Linked DNA regions of Drosophila melanogaster. The gene in region 1 interacts genetically with each later gene. Each region holds a gene or a part of one and is shown on either strand. Other genes may lie near its edges.

What was found. A genetic interaction does not mean that the proteins touch.
Region 2: of Ac3 (region 1) and Pdfr, changing one suppresses a phenotype caused by changing the other (phenotypic suppression), as found in Drosophila melanogaster (one study listed by BioGRID).

The regions. Positions count from the first base shown.
Region 1 is NT_033779.5:21,629,649-21,636,674, reverse strand, and holds the start of Ac3 (adenylate cyclase 3), read right to left. Parts: upstream 4,089-7,026; 5' UTR 3,970-4,088; intron 3,410-3,969; 5' UTR 3,370-3,409; intron 3,302-3,369; 5' UTR 3,049-3,301; coding exon 2,760-3,048; intron 2,256-2,759; coding exon 2,066-2,255; intron 1,950-2,065; coding exon 1,640-1,949; intron 1,584-1,639; coding exon 1,465-1,583; intron 1,056-1,464; coding exon 944-1,055; intron 1-943. Other genes in the region: Df31 (decondensation factor 31), read left to right, coding at 6,983-7,008.
Region 2 is NC_004354.4:2,569,206-2,578,747, forward strand, and holds Pdfr (Pigment-dispersing factor receptor), read left to right. Parts: upstream 1-3,000; 5' UTR 3,001-3,461; coding exon 3,462-3,641; intron 3,642-3,768; coding exon 3,769-4,225; intron 4,226-4,294; coding exon 4,295-4,405; intron 4,406-5,266; coding exon 5,267-5,418; intron 5,419-5,657; coding exon 5,658-5,915; intron 5,916-5,986; coding exon 5,987-6,283; intron 6,284-6,349; coding exon 6,350-6,613; intron 6,614-6,688; coding exon 6,689-6,849; intron 6,850-6,911; coding exon 6,912-7,248; 3' UTR 7,249-7,800; downstream 7,801-9,542. UniProt on the Drosophila melanogaster protein: Receptor for PDF, a neuropeptide controlling circadian behavioral rhythms. Probably regulates circadian behavioral rhythms through coordination of activities of clock neurons. PDF-binding results in the elevation of cAMP synthesis.

The DNA.
Region 1 (7,026 bases):
AATATTCTAGTGTCTTTGCAAAAACACTGTGGCCACGACCTTTCTTTCTTATTTAAAATTTTTTAATTTCTTTAACGGGTATCTGATAGTAGAGGATCACGACTATAGCATTCTCTCTTGTTTTAACTGAATTGATTTTATTATAGTTATTTATAAGATTTAAAAAAATTTGCAATTCAAGGAGAAACAAAGAAAAACAACCTAATTTCCACTAATTTCTGACGTTGTGGATTTTTGACCATTTTGACATTTGAACCATACAGAAATGATTTATAAATCTATTACTGTCTTAAAAGTGTAGTCTTGTGACTACAACTTGTACTAGGATAACACCATAAATTTTAACTGTTCAAAAACATCACATTTAATTGTATATTTAACTGTTTAAAGAATTAATGCTTTCAACATGCGTTTGAATCGCCCTTTATCGGAATTCTGAAATGGTATATACCAAGGTTTTTGTTTAATTTGGATCAACGACTATTAAAAAGGTGTTTTGGCCAACGAACAGAGTTCCTTCTGTGTCTCATTACAATAAATTATACAAATGTGTATCCCCTTTTTTTGTATATCCGTTAATCGTGGATATACTAGTACACACTCGTAGAGGATGTAATAGATAATTTGAAAAGTATTTAACAGGTAGGAGGAAGCTTTTCCAACAAAATAGAGTACTTTTAATAAAGTCTACTACATAAGTCAATCTGACCATGTCTTTCTGTCAATATAAAGAATCTGTCTCTTTTTAATAAATGTAAGCGACTGCATACTGTTAAAAAGTTCACGTTATGTGGTTTGTAATATAATTTAAGAAGAAAAACTTTTTACGTGGTTTAGAAATAAACATTAAATATAATGAACATAATACAAAATTAAATGACAACGAGGTTTTAAAATAATCAAAATCATTAACAGACAACAATTTTATATTTTGCAAATTTACCTCAGCAAGTCTGTCGAAACGTGCAAAGAGCTCGTTAAGCATTTTTACCAAATCTTGCGCACTATATGTGGAGGAGATGGCGGTAAAGCCAACGATATCCGCATATAGAATGCTTGTTTGAACAAAAAAAAAATAGGAAAAATATTTTGAAATTTATTTGCAGAGGCAGTGTAAGTAAAATAGAGATTAAATAAAATACTGACACATTTGAGAACACACACAATGAGAATTAAGAGCTTAGGAAATGTAAAGTTCATATTGAGGAGCGTGAAATACTTTCGATGAATGAGCTTTGCGAGAATATAAAAACGTTGTGATATATTTGATTAAAATAAAATTTGGTGGTAATGGACATATAGTATTGTTTTATATTAGCGACAATGAACAGGTTCTAAGCGTTTTTTATCAAGTTAAGAAAATTCTGTTTTATGTACATTTGTATGTATATTTGAAATATTAAAACGAATAACTAAGAATTTTTTATTTTTACAGCTTGAAGAGTCAATCGATTTAATGCTTACCTTACATTCTCGTGCCGACTCATGTAAATTTTTTTAAAAGCCTCGGAACTGGATGATCCCAAATCTTCCCGCATCTTAATAGCCACATGCTTTGGCAGCACAGACAATAGCAGACGCTCCTAATAGGGGCAAATTTTATATTTCATATCCACGGTCAGTAAAACAGAATGCAAACCTGTTCGGCCGACTGTTCCTCTATGACCATTTTAACTTCAAGGCTCTTTTTGGCCTCGAGAAAGGCTCGTTTCTGCTTGGCCTCACCCATAAAGTAGTACAAAAGGCCTATCAGCGCTGCCGTGGCTATCAAAACTGCATTAGCCGCTAATTGGTTCGAGAGCAGCGAGTCCCAGTGAGAATAACCAACAGGGAGACTGAGGCAAATGAAATATGTGATACATCCAATCGACAGACCAAGAAAAATCAGCTGTAATGGCAGCGTCACATAGACCAAGAAATTTAGAAGGATGGCCCAGCCAAGTAGGTCCCTGAAAGCGATGAAGAAATTGAAAGCACACATGAATTGCTTCTTGCCCTTTGTATAATTGCAAAATACACTTTGTGGAGTCCTCCAGTATTTATCATTTTAATTGTAATAGCTTACCTTGGAGAAAAACTAGGCTGCAGAATAACATAAACGGTAAAATGAAGAATGCTTAATAGCCACAGTGCCCGTGGCACAATAATCAGGAGTATTTGGTGGAAGCGCCTCAGTGCCGGTTTATCAGAACGGCGTCCAATATGAAGGAGCGCTGTCAATGCCAAGTAAGCTAACAGCATACAACAGTTGATCACTAGAATATGGAATAACATGAAATTATTTGATATAACTTATTTTAATTATTGTAAAAAAAACACTTATGCTTAGTTCCAACTTGTTGGTTCTTATAGTTACCGAGATCTCGATGTTCATACGGACAGAGAGACGAACCGACTCTATTAAACAAAAAAGTACGCAGTATCATTCTGGGCGTAAACAATATTTAAATTAAAATCAAGAGAGTACGTGAATGTTGGCAGATTGACGATTTTTCATTTTATACCTAAATAAGTACTCTGTCCATCCAAGCTTATAACTGAAGCTGAAGAAAATTTATTTTTGGACATATATAAAAATGAATAAAATAAATTGATAAATTGATTCCAACAGGAAATTACACGACTGTAATCATTTAAAAAGTTATTCTTATAAATATACATTGTCAGATATGAGGTATAAGTTATGTACACATCCATCCGACAAGGTCTTTAACGCGATACTAATTTCTTTAAACAATTTATTTCTATTCATAGCTCACCTCTCGTAGGGGCCGACTGATCCCAGGGAATTCCGATGGTCCATATGTTAAACAACGCGGCCGCAAAGACAAACCACTTCAATCCACTGCGGCGTTGTTTGATGGAGTAGTTGTGGTAGAGTTCGTTAAGCACGTGCTGCGGCAAAATGACGACTCCCCCACCGGTGATTCCCACGCCTCCGGCCACATCGCTGTCGTTTTGCCGCCGTCGAGATGTTGTTTGACGCTGCGAATGCGATTTGCTTGTCGAGGCGATCGTTTTCTGACCGTTCTCCAAATTTGCTTCCATCTCGTTTGTCTAACTTCTAGGATGTTATTCGTTGTTCGGAGAGCTTATTTCGTATTTGTGGTTTAGTAATAAAGCGACACCATGTCCTTGGTTTATTTGTTTGTAATGTGACAAGAACATAAAATAGTTCACTTGTCTGAATCGAAGCACTGCAAGGCAAAATCGAAATACAGGGACAAAGTATAAGCAAGTAATCTTGACACTTATCGGTGCATCCTCCGTCCACTCAAATTAAATGCACTGCGGAAGCGTCCTTGAGAGAGAGAGAGCGGTGAATATTCTCATATGTACAACTGTTAGAGCACGAAAGTGTGTGCTTACCTGCATATGGCTGTACCGCACATTTATTGCCGTAATGGAACTGTTCAATGACAACATAAAAAACAAAAACATTATAAATATCAAATGTTGCCTAACCACTACAGATAAGTTGGTTATCATATTGAAATTGTTCTGTTAAAACTCGTGATCCTTTTTTGCAGCATTCGACACCATAGTAGACCACGGTAACTGTAATCAGAAAATTTCGTCCGCTCTCTCGCTGCTCTCTACCCCACCGCTGCCTCTTTCTCTTCATATGACTACCTCTTCATTTCCCCATTGAGAAATATTCGACTGACAAACTAAGTAACACACACCTCTCGTCCCTTTTCTTGTGGAAAATCACTTTCTTGTCTAGGTATGCGCGTACATGTGTTTCTCCTCTTTGTGTGAGTTAGGCTCAGTTTCTCAAGGCTTGTTTAAATGCTCTATTTGATTTCATTTGTATAACAGCTCGCGAGCGTGTGTACCCTCTGCCTATTGCAACAAACCCTCGTTTGCTTTAAATTTGTATCCCAGTAACTAACAGCTCCAGCATATAAGTCCAAGATATTTGGAAGTTATTGATAACCGTCCGCCTTGATTACTTCCTTAACATACGTTTGCTATGCTGGTTATTTGCTTTTTCGATGTGTTAAATTTTTTCTGCTAGCAAGTTTGCACGCAAGACACCGAGCAATATCCTTCGACTAAACTAAGCCGCCCCGATAAACTTGACTGATTGTCGATTTCAGCCTCACCAGCAAGGACCTCCGTTATTTCATGTTTAAACGCTCAGAGGTCGAACGAGAGCAAGCTTTTTCGGCTGAAAGCTCGTTTTTGCGCATGCGATCGAAGCAATGCACTGATAACGGTACAGCTGGGCTATCCTGATAAGAGTCCCTTTGCACAATAGCGTATTCAGAATATTACCGGAAGAGCATAAAGTTAATTAAATCTCATTAAGGTCTCCCGCCAATAGGCAACCACTGACCGATGAAGAAAACGTCATGAATGCAGCTGACCTTAAAATGAGTGCAGCTGCTATTTGACAGCGCCTGTGTGAGTGTGTCGGGGTGGACTGCACTATGGGAAACCTAACCACTTTTTCTGGCCAAAATTAATAACTTCAGAACGGAGAAATTTATTAGGAAAAAATTCGACAAAATTTAAAAATTGTTCAAAAGTGTGGACGTGGCCGGTTTCGCGGCTTTAAAAATGCTTATGTATGGCAATTTATATTTTTATCGAATTTTGGGTTGAACATTTTTTTTGCTTTTGCCACTCACTTACTCATAATGCAAGCCACACTGATTAAATGCCTTACAGAATGTAAATAACGCTTCAGAAAAAAATTGGTTAATTTTTCATAGTAGAGTTCTGTTGCATTTATTGATGTCCACTAAACATAGTATACAAACATGAGTAAGAGATATTTACGTTATACTTTTTATACATTAGTAAGTAATTTGGGGACCAAAGAATTTTATTCAGAATAAAAAAAAGGCATTTCCAAGTCTATTTTTCTAAATGTTATTTTTTAAATACCACAAATTATGAATTTAGTAAATAGATCCGTTGATTTTTTTCCTTAAAAAAATCTACTGATTTCAAATCAAAGCCCGCCTCAACGATGTAAAAAAACTAGTAACGATGACACCTTTACTGCTCTGAAATCATCTTTTGTGATGAAAATATAATTTTGTTCTGTTCAAGAATATAGGTATCTTCATTGATATGTACGTGCTTATCTACGTATATAATTCTTTGCTGCGAACTTAGACATTAGAGCATAACTGATTTGAATTCAATCTTTTTTGTGCGTTCAAGGGGATTTCAAAATGGTTGAGAATATTAACCTTAGACCAGTAGTGCCCAATTTCCTGCGTCGCGGAAAAATCTGTTTTCTTTAATTATTGGTCGATATATCGCCTTAGAATATCGTGTCGAAAGTTTCAAAAGCTAATTCTCGAAATTTTGGGAGATGCCCTTCGGATTTCGGAAGTCATACTTTCCTTGACGGCAATCTTTAAACCATGTTTGGTTCTATATGAAGTAAAGACTTTTCAATACAAACGAATGCCTCGTTCCTATAATTATATTTTAGAAACAAGAAACAACCCCAAAGCAAGGCTAAATGGAATAAACCCAAAATTTTACAGACGATGAAATCGAAAACCCGAAACAAATCACCCACCTGTAAAGCAAACATCCGTTGTCCAATTTTATTAAATCAGCATGTTTTCACGTTCCAAGCCGACACTCACAAGCTCGAAAGCAAAAGTTTGAATTTCAATAAATAAAATCTTAAAAATCTAATAGCGCTTGTATCCAAGAGCGAATGCACTTCACTCCAAAAGCCAAAGACACTAGATTATTCTAGTGTCTTTGCAAAAGCCCATTAAAATTTTACAGCCCAAAGTCCATATTAAAAAAGCTCGAGACCGAGGATTGATCGTCAATCAATATAGATCAATAAGTGGAGTTTAGCATGAGACCTAAAATTAAATGTTGACTTATGAAAATTGAAAACTTGTAATTATATGTATGTATAATAGCGTCTATGTTCTTCGGCAATGGAATCTCAGTCCTAGTGTATTGTTTTCCTTGCCAATAGCCTAAAATATTGTAAAATTTTAGTGAAGCAGAAAATTTACCAGCTGCCTGGTAGCGCACTCTAATTCTTTTTTCTATTATACCGATCAAGGGACGCAGACAAGGCCACTATACATATGTATGTATGTACGTACTTATGCGTGCATATCTGACTACCTGAAAATGTTTTCAGAGGGGTGAGGATTATTTCCGTCGGTTTTATGTGTTTGATTACATACATATGACATATCTTTAAGATATTATTTTTAAGATCTTGTAGACTGTGTAATTTACAAGGAAATTGATTGATGTAATTTAATAAAAAGCTTGAATTTTTTAAAAATGACGATATGTGTATATATATATATATGAACATACATGTTTGTGTGTTTGTTTATTTAATTTTTAGGAGTACCGGATCAAAAAAAAAACTTAGAATTGGGAAGGTGTATTACACGAAAAATCACTCAGGTCAATGAGAAAAACAAGGATAGGAATGCATTTGAATATTTTACCTGCTATATTTGTGTAGCCGCTAAATAATAGTTAAAAGGTGGCAGCCCTTTTTAGGGGACCGTTATTTTGAAATATTTGTCACTGCTATATTTCATCTCTTTAATATATTAAAATAAAATTGTAAAAATCTATCAGCATAAGCTAACTCCGAATTAAATAGAGAACGGGTGATAACGATAACAAACAAAGATATGTTTTCCGGAGGCGGAACTATCGCAAGCGGACTACCGACGTCTACCAACACTACAGGGCGGCGCTTTAAAAGCCGGTCCGACGCTCACCGCTCTCTCATTCGGCGTTTTTCTTTGTGACTGTGTGGACGTTCTTAATTGTACGGCAAAATCTCCAGCAACCAAGCTACTTTCTTAGCAAAGCTACTAAAGAGGAAACTATATTGATAAAATTTCGTTCTTTTAAAATCTTTGTGCTGATATTTAAGGCGTGCTTGGTGATCCAAAAACCCTCAGTTACAACGTGTTTTCTCGCTTCGCGTTTGAAAAGTAATATCTAACAGTAATTCAAAATGGCTGATGTGGCTGAGCAAAAGAAGTGAGTACTTTGCTTGCC
Region 2 (9,542 bases), on another chromosome or scaffold:
AATATGGCCACTTGTCTGGCCTCTCGTTCTTCCTGGGAAATCCCTAAAATTTAAGAATCATTCCCAAAACTACTGCTTAAACATTGGGCCATATTCTCACTCAATTGGAAAACCCTTTGTGGCGACTTAATTGGCCCGGATTCACAGACGACAGTGCGTTTCGCAAACGAAGGAATGCAAATATTAAAAACCACGCTGCTAGATAAGTAATTCAGATTGGTTGCACTTGCAATTAGAAAATCCTTTGTGCCGCCCTAATTGGCACAAACACAAATGCAAGCCAACATTAATGAGCTGCCGCGACACGGAATATGACCAAAAGATTTAGTTTAAAGTGCACTTTTGATCCGAGTGTAGTATTTATAACTAACAAGTGCCGTTACTTGCCTATTATTAAGTGACCCAATTGTAAAGGTAATAATGTTTTAAAAACATTCGCAGTTCACAATAATTACAATTGGTTTGTGGTTATCACTTAGGCGCGCTCGAAAGTTTATTTCTTTATTCGAAACTAAAACTTAATTAAGCCCAATTTAATTGGGCCTACACACACGCAACGCACTGTACTTGCTATGGCAACTCTATGGCTAAAGAAACCCCGCAGTGAAAAGTCTTTTGGCTTGTCAAATAGCGCGAAAACTTTTCAAATAGCGTCGCTAGCCGCCAAAACCAAGACCAACCAGTTTTTCGTGCACCTCCACCCGCTTGCCACACGCTTTTCCGTCCCCCACCCTCACCACTTTGCCCACTAGCCTTTTGTTAGCGAGCATTGGCCCATTCAATGCATTTCGTCTCTCTGAATGGCGGCTCTTGAGATTCATTTTCTTTCATTTTCCCCATAATTATGGCAAAGAAATATACGGGGAAAAAAACACGCTTCAACGCCTGCAGATGAATTTCCCCGGGCTTTGCGATTTTTCCCGGCCTACCGAAAAAGAAAAACACCAAGTCTTGAAAATTTGAAAAAAAAAAAAACAAAAAACAAAAAACTTCGACTGCACTTGGGCCGATGAAAATGTTAAAACAATCGATCGGCAAAAGGGGCACGCCCATTATTTGGGGCTCAATCAACCCAATTTTCAAGTCGAGCGACGTCAGCTGAAATTACTTTATAATCTTGTTGATTGCTGATTGCACTTATTGCACATTTAAAGCTCCGTCCACTAACGAATTTAAGTTCACATAAATCCTGATTGCCTGTCACTATCCACTATGAGTATCCACCCATCAAGTGGAATTGACAAGCTATTTGGGGCATTGCAATGCGTGTTAAATAATTGAATTGCTGAGTGTTCAATAAGAAAGTTGATTAATTATTCAAACGGCCCAGCATGTTTGGGTTTCCAAATTGTAAACAATCGAGTCCAGAGCTCGTTCAATTATCGGCCTGAAAATGGATTGCTCAAGTCAAAAAAAAAAATATATGCCAAGGGCGTAATAAATATAAAAATGTGCTTATGTAATATGCAAGAACATTTTGATTAACAAGCCTCTTCTCGATTGCCAACTACCAACTACCAATAATATTTGTAAGCTCTACTCTGTACACACTTTACACACAAACAAATTGCAGTTGAACAAACCACTTTCCTCAATGTAATTAAATTTTAGTTACTTTCTGTTTCTGACTGGTGCTAACTTTAAATTGCACAAGTATTTAAAGGGGTCCCTTAATCCCTCAACCCCATAACCCGCACGCTGCAACTGCTGCCAAGTGACCCAAATCAGGGTCTGTTGTCTGCTTGGAGATGCCGAATCGCGGCATCCAGCATCCATCCAGTTGGTTATCCAATCCAATCCAAGCCAAGCCAAGCCAAGCCAAACCAAACCGTTTCCAATCCCTGGCCCCGCCACTGGCTTTTCAGTCGCTTTGGAGGGGATTTTGCGCTTAGTTAGCTTAATTACGAGCGCGAGCTGAGAATCGGTTCGCTGCGGCGATAAGCATCGATTGGTAAATAAGCAGCGAATTCAAGGCTCCCGAAAGGCTTAATATCTTAATTACTTAATTATATATTTTAAATATATATATATATATACATATACCGTATATATCGTTGATTTTTTGCGCTGTGGGAGTGCTTAGTCGCAAAGTTTTTGCTAATGCTGCACTTCGTCTGACGCTGGCGCTTATGCAACCAAAATACATATTGAGCAGTACAAAGCCAGTGGAATGCCCCCAGGGATGCGGAAATGCGGAAATGCAGAGATGGATAGCTGAGGGGGGGGAGGGAGGTGGGTGAGCGTGTGGGTGGAGCATAGCCTGCATGCATGCATTCGTGTGCAGCGACTACTGGCGAAATTGAAATTCTTATGAAATTATATAAAATGCACTCAAAGGCATTTTTGGGGCAGCTTAGCAACACAAGCAACACAAGCAACACAAGCAACATGGGCAACATGAGCAAAATGTGCAACTTTGGCCACTTTGGACGACCGTCCTCCGCATGGCTTGTTTACGCAATTCCGGAAGTGAAAAAACCAAAAAAAGAAAAAGAAATAAAAGTTGAGGCAAAAAAAAGCGAATGGCAACGTGTTTCCTGTGCCATTCCGCCGCCATTTGCTGCTGCTGCTGCTGCTGCTGCAACGCAACCAAGACAGGAAGAAATCATAATTTGTCGTGTGCGATTGTCATTGAAGTAATTTACATTCCGTTTAGCCTTGGCCATAAATTGCGCAGAGGAAAATATGTGATGCCGTCATTAAAATATGAAATCTTGTTTTTCACAAAACGTGCCACTAAATGATAAACAAGCTGTTGTTTTTCATTGGGAATTACTCCATCTCATTTGTGCAATGATAAAAGCATTACATTTTCGAGTCTGCACGATCGTATCATCAGTTGTTTGCAGGACCTTGAGTTCTTCATACAAAGTTTTAGCTGCTCATTTTTAATCTGTTCCTTGTGCAGAGATTACACTTCTCCGAAAAGAGCCGACACGTAAATTGGAAAAGGGTTAGTGCAACTGTTGTTGCAATTACAATTCATCACATAGCCCGTAGTTCCTCTTCCTGCTGCACAGAAAGAAATTGGTATGTGGCGATCGTTGCAATGCCATGCAATTCAATGCCCAATTCAAAAATATTTGAAATGTGTAAACAACTCACTTGTTTTCTTTTCTGCGTGCATGTGGTGCTCCTGGCCATTTGCCATTTCGCCAGGCATAATCCCGACAATCGGTGCGATGTGGGTGATACGAGTGCGAATGCGAATGCGAATGCCAATGATATGTGTATTGTATGTATGTGCATACATATGGCGTCGTAGCGTGTGGGCGTGATGTTTGCACTCCGGTGCAGCGGGACTATAAATAAGCCGGGTATTTATTAGGGGCAATCATAAACTGCGTTAACGACGGGCACTCTGCCAACGAGAATAAGATCCGGTAAACAAAGGCACCGGTCGACGTACGTCTCATTGTGCGATAAGCTTTCAATTAAATCTGACCCGGATAACGGGGCGCATGGGTGCGGGAAATCGGAAATCGGAAACGAAAACGAAAACGGAAGCGGAAATCGAAATCGAAATGGAAAGAGATCAATTTTCAATTGCAGCCAATGCATGCATGTCCATGGGTCCAATGCTAATATCGAAAGACAAAGCTCCGTGTTCTGGAGGTCGTGTTCGCCATGCAGACTCATTGGTTGGTTGGGTTTAACTCGTACAAAGTTTGATGGGTTTGGGATTGTTTTTTTTTTTTTTTTAGAACGATATAACTCGATATAATGCTGGTGCGTAAATAACAACGATGTTCATTGTTCGCTTTGCAGCACATTTACTATGCGGTCGATGGCAAAATGACCCTCCTGTCGAACATTCTCGACTGCGGAGGCTGTATTTCCGCCCAGCGCTTCACCCGCCTGCTGCGCCAGTCCGGCTCATCAGGACCATCCCCATCTGCACCGACGGCCGGAACATTTGAATCAAAATCCATGCTGGAGCCAACATCCTCGCACAGCCTGGCGACCGGACGCGTGCCACTACTGCACGATTTCGATGCCTCGACAACGGAATCGCCGGGAACGTATGTCCTCGACGGTGTCGCCAGGGTGGCCCAATTGGCCCTGGAGCCCACCGTCATGGACGCACTGCCCGATTCGGACACGGAACAGGTTCTCGGTAATCTCAACAGCAGCGCGCCCTGGAATCTAACGCTTGCGTCGGCAGCGGCCACCAATTTCGAGAACTGCTCGGCGCTTTTTGTCAATTACACCCTACCACAAACAGGTACCTAAAGCCTAATAACTTTTAAATCATATTGCAGTATTTTTTTTTTTTTTTTTGTTGCCGGGATAGGACTCTACTGCAATTGGACCTGGGACACATTGCTCTGCTGGCCACCCACTCCGGCTGGAGTCCTTGCACGGATGAATTGTCCTGGCGGCTTTCATGGCGTAGATACGCGCAGTAAGTAACTGAAATACACTCTAAAAAAAAAGCAGCCGAAAAAGAACATGCTGAGTACAATTAGCATAATTAATCGTTGAAGCTGTTTAGCTGTTTAGCAGCCACAAGAAGCTTTATGACTTCTGCCGGCTTATTAGGAGTCAAAAGACATGTCCTACGGTGTTTATCCCATCCACACGGCATATCTGGCGGTCACAATCATACGGATCATTAGCTGGGAAACGGTTCAAGTGGTGCACGGCAAACAATTACTTGATTCCGTATTCATCGAAAGGATGTCAATATTTACATGCATGACTGGGGGCGTCCAATCAACCGCACTCCCAGTCGGGGCCGCCCCTCCTTGGCTTCCATCGCCGGGGGCTGTCCAGGTGTTTCATGTGCACCCTCGAGCTCCGCCAGTTGAACAGGGTTTAAAACACCAGCCAATCGATTGCTTAATTACGATCCTAAATGCTTGCTCTACCCCTCCGATAAATTAAACGTTCTGCAATGGGGAATTGCTATTTAATAACCATGGGCGATATACACTGAGCGAAAAGATTCTAAGTAGCTGACTTACCACCCAATATTTTACAAACTTAAAATGCTCTTCCATTATCACTAGTGAATGTATTATCTGCGCTTGTGGTGCAAAATCTAGGCATATCGAACTATATCTGTTAAGAAATAATTATTCGAGTGCATTGTTGAGCTACGGCCTCATTTCTCCGGGCCGTGTCTAGATTTTTAGCCCCAATATTTTCAACTGGACGAGGTCGGTCGCCCATTCGATTGGCATAATTGCACTTGTCAGTCAGTGTGTCAAAGCTCGATTACTGTCATTAATCCAACCCAACCTCCCTCTTTTTCGGTTCGCAGAATTCGCCATCCGAAAGTGTGAGCTGGATGGTCGATGGGGCAGCAGGCCAAATGCCACGGAGGTGAATCCGCCGGGATGGACGGACTACGGGCCGTGTTACAAGCCGGAGATTATCCGTCTCATGCAGCAGATGGGCAGCAAGGACTTCGATGTGAGTTGAATTCTTTCCACACTACATCATAATACCTGTTTCAGTTATAGTTAAGAGCATTGCTTAAATGCCAACCAAAATCCCAAATCAAGGGTATGGTTTTGAAATTACCTAATAGGGTTCCAAGTTTTTTAGACACCCTAAAAAGTGATTTCAAAGGCCTGATTACATTTGTTGATAGTGGTTTATAGTAGTAGTTTTAATTCCATTTCTTCCAACTGGTTTGCGATATCCCTTAGGCCTACATAGACATTGCCAGGAGGACTCGAACCCTGGAGATCGTGGGCCTCTGCCTCTCCCTGTTCGCCCTTATAGTTTCCCTGCTGATCTTCTGCACATTTCGCTCGCTGCGAAACAATCGCACCAAGATCCACAAGAATCTTTTCGTCGCCATGGTGCTGCAGGTGATCATTCGCCTGACCTTGTATCTCGACCAATTCCGGCGGGGAAACAAGGAGGCGGCCACCAACACGAGTCTCTCTGTCATTGAGAACACGGTAGGCTTAATATTCCCGCATAAGGATAAGGTATAAGGCTTATGTTCGATATTATATGTTATGTTCTACAGCCCTATTTGTGCGAAGCATCCTATGTACTTCTGGAGTACGCTCGTACCGCCATGTTCATGTGGATGTTCATCGAGGGCCTTTACCTGCACAACATGGTCACCGTGGCCGTTTTCCAGGGCAGCTTTCCCCTCAAGTTCTTCTCGCGACTCGGCTGGTGTGTGCCCATTCTGATGACCACCGTGTGGGCGAGATGCACGGTCATGTATATGGACACCTCGCTGGGCGAATGCTTGTGGAACTATAATCTCACGCCCTACTACTGGATCCTCGAGGGGCCACGACTAGCGGTCATACTGGTGGGTAATATCAACTGTTGATCGCTTTAATCACCTATTCACCCAACTGAAAACATCCGCATGCAGCTAAACTTCTGTTTCCTGGTGAACATTATCCGAGTGCTGGTAATGAAGCTGCGTCAATCGCAGGCCAGCGATATAGAACAGACTCGCAAGGCAGTTAGAGCGGCTATAGTCCTACTACCACTTTTGGGTATAACCAATCTCCTGCACCAGCTGGCTCCTCTGAAAACGGCCACGAACTTCGCGGTCTGGTCGTATGGCACCCACTTTCTCACCTCGTTTCAGGGATTTTTTATAGCGCTAATTTACTGCTTTCTAAATGGCGAGGTAAGACATCAAGTCACTCAGTTGTCCATTTGCCTAAAACCCTCACTATTTCCAACCAAAATATATATTTTTTAGGTTCGTGCCGTGCTACTAAAGAGTCTGGCCACCCAGCTGTCGGTGCGAGGTCATCCGGAATGGGCGCCGAAAAGGGCATCTATGTACTCGGGTGCTTATAACACGGCGCCGGATACGGATGCAGTGCAGCCTGCAGGAGATCCATCGGCCACTGGAAAGCGGTAAGCATCCGCTTTGTGCACACCCCACCTTGAAACTCCTTACATCAATTTAAAACTCCCAGAATATCACCGCCGAATAAAAGGCTGAATGGAAGAAAGCCGAGCAGTGCCAGCATTGTGATGATTCACGAGCCTCAACAGCGCCAGCGACTGATGCCCCGGCTGCAAAACAAGGCGCGGGAAAAGGGCAAGGACCGGGTGGAGAAGACGGATGCGGAAGCGGAGCCGGATCCGACCATCTCCCACATTCACAGCAAGGAGGCGGGCAGCGCGAGATCGCGAACTCGCGGCTCCAAGTGGATAATGGGCATCTGCTTCCGGGGTCAAAAGGTACTAAGAGTACCGTCAGCGTCATCCGTGCCACCCGAGTCAGTTGTATTTGAGTTGTCAGAGCAGTAGACCAAAACCTAGCCTAACTAATAGATGTAGCCATAGCCGTAGCCAAATAGCCGTAGAAGTAGCCAACGCCATGTAGCCCACCACCACAGTAGCCAGCACCCACACAATCGGACCGGAAATGATCCCAAAGATAACCCAGAACCCGACTATTCCTGCATCTCCCATCGACCCACCAAGCAAGCCAGCTGGAAACAGCACATATGTAAAATACCCCAACAAAATATCGCAGTTCTTATACCCAAGATCATTTTGAACAGAAAGTAAGCTCATTGTTTTGTAATTCAAATTAAACCAATAGACATTTAATTTAAATAGTTATTTTCGCTTGCCTTCGGTTCTTGCTCCACTGTACTTATGTAAATACATACATACCTTTATTTGTGTAAGCCATATCCAAACCCTTTCCAAAATCTAGAAATCTCCTATCCTTTCGAAATCGGCTAATCCTACGAAAATTCAAATTTCCCTACAAGTTTTACAAAATATTTTTGATGACAATAAATTTCCAATAGCGTCACCTTCTGTTCTGGACACGCAAATACATTCAAAAACACTCGCACACGGTTCTTACTCGATGAATTTTTCAGCAAAACTTCAGCGGCATGTTCTTTTACTTCTACTATTCATATTTAAATATTAGATTGAAATATTTAAGTGAATTAACACAAACTTGCGGTAACTGCGCAGTGTGGCCAGGCTTTGTGAGCCATTAGAACTTATTACATAACATAATTGAAAAGTGACATTGTTTAAAGGAACTCACCTTTAATCAACTGTTGAACTTGCTGTTCATCGGATTCCGTTATTAAGTTTTAAGATTTGGGTTTACTTGTATTTACATTTTCTTTACCACTTTGATTAGCTTACACTTTCCGTTCCTGAGCTGGTCACACTGCCAGCTACAATCGATCACGTTCACTGCAACTGCCTTGAATTTTGCTAGCTGCGCTTTGTTGTGCAACAAAAACTTTGCCACAATCGATATTTAACTAATGGGGTCCATAATCGGAGACACATAAATGCAATAAATATCTTTTCGGCTATTCTCTCCTCCTTGTTTCCCACTCAAAATGCGGCTCTCTTGGCGGACTCTTCTCGTTTTCGTTTTCTTTTTCTTCTTTCTCGCCTTTCGTTCGCAGGACAAATGTGTGATGCCGGGCTCGCAAAAGACGCAGCAAATATTCATGACGTCGCAAATGCCGCCGACGTCGACGCTTGCAGCGGTAGCAACAACAATTACCACAACATCAACAACAACAACGGCAGCCAAAACAACAATAGCATCCATTGCAACCATCGCGACGATGACAAAGTCAAAGGCGAAAGCCAAAGCGATTTCAAAGAGCCATCAAATACAAATGCCGAAAGCCTAGTGCATCTCGCTCTCTTTACCGCTCACACCAGCAACACTCAGAACAACACACACCGAAACACAATATTCACGCCCATCCGCAGGCGCAACTGTTCTTAAACTAAAACTAAAATGCCGCGAAGTATGCTCTCTTTGCAAGAAGCGAGTTCGATAAGTCGGATATCGATCGATACACGACACACACACACGCATACATACATATATCCTATATTTTTGTATATTTACCAACAGCAGTTGGGCCACAGTTTTTTTTGCACATGTGTAAGAAGTGCGCTGATGAATGTAACTGTTAATCTTTTTTTTTCTAAATAAGCTCAATATACATACATAGATGTAACGGTATTTACAAGAGCATAGATAAAGCATACATATTTACATACCTGTTATTTACACGGATGCAAGCAGCAGAAAAATGTCGGAGAGTAGTTCGTACATATAATACGAGTATATACATATGTACATAGATATGTATGTATACCACATATAACGAGAGTACAAAGCACATGGAATGGTAACGAGGAACAAACAGAAACAAACGGATTGAAGGAATCACGATGTCACATCATCTGATCTGCGATCAGTGCGAATGTCGAATATTCATCACCCTAGCTTTAAGCTTACAATGCATTTTAAATGGAATATCTTGTGTGTGGAATCGTGTTTGTTTTCATTTAGTTTTGGTTTCCTACTCGCTTCACGCTATTTCGAAACTAAGAATTCAAGCCGAATTTAAAAAGAGAGGAACCTAAGAACCAGAACCCCAGTGGTCGTCAATGTCAAACTATTACGTGTATAAGGCTAGATGGAAAATGAATAAACATGATTTTATATGCATACATCTAAACTGCACTCGGCTATCGTCTACGTTCTTCATCTGGATTTGGGATCGGACTCGGGCTCGGGATCCATTAGGTTTGCCTAA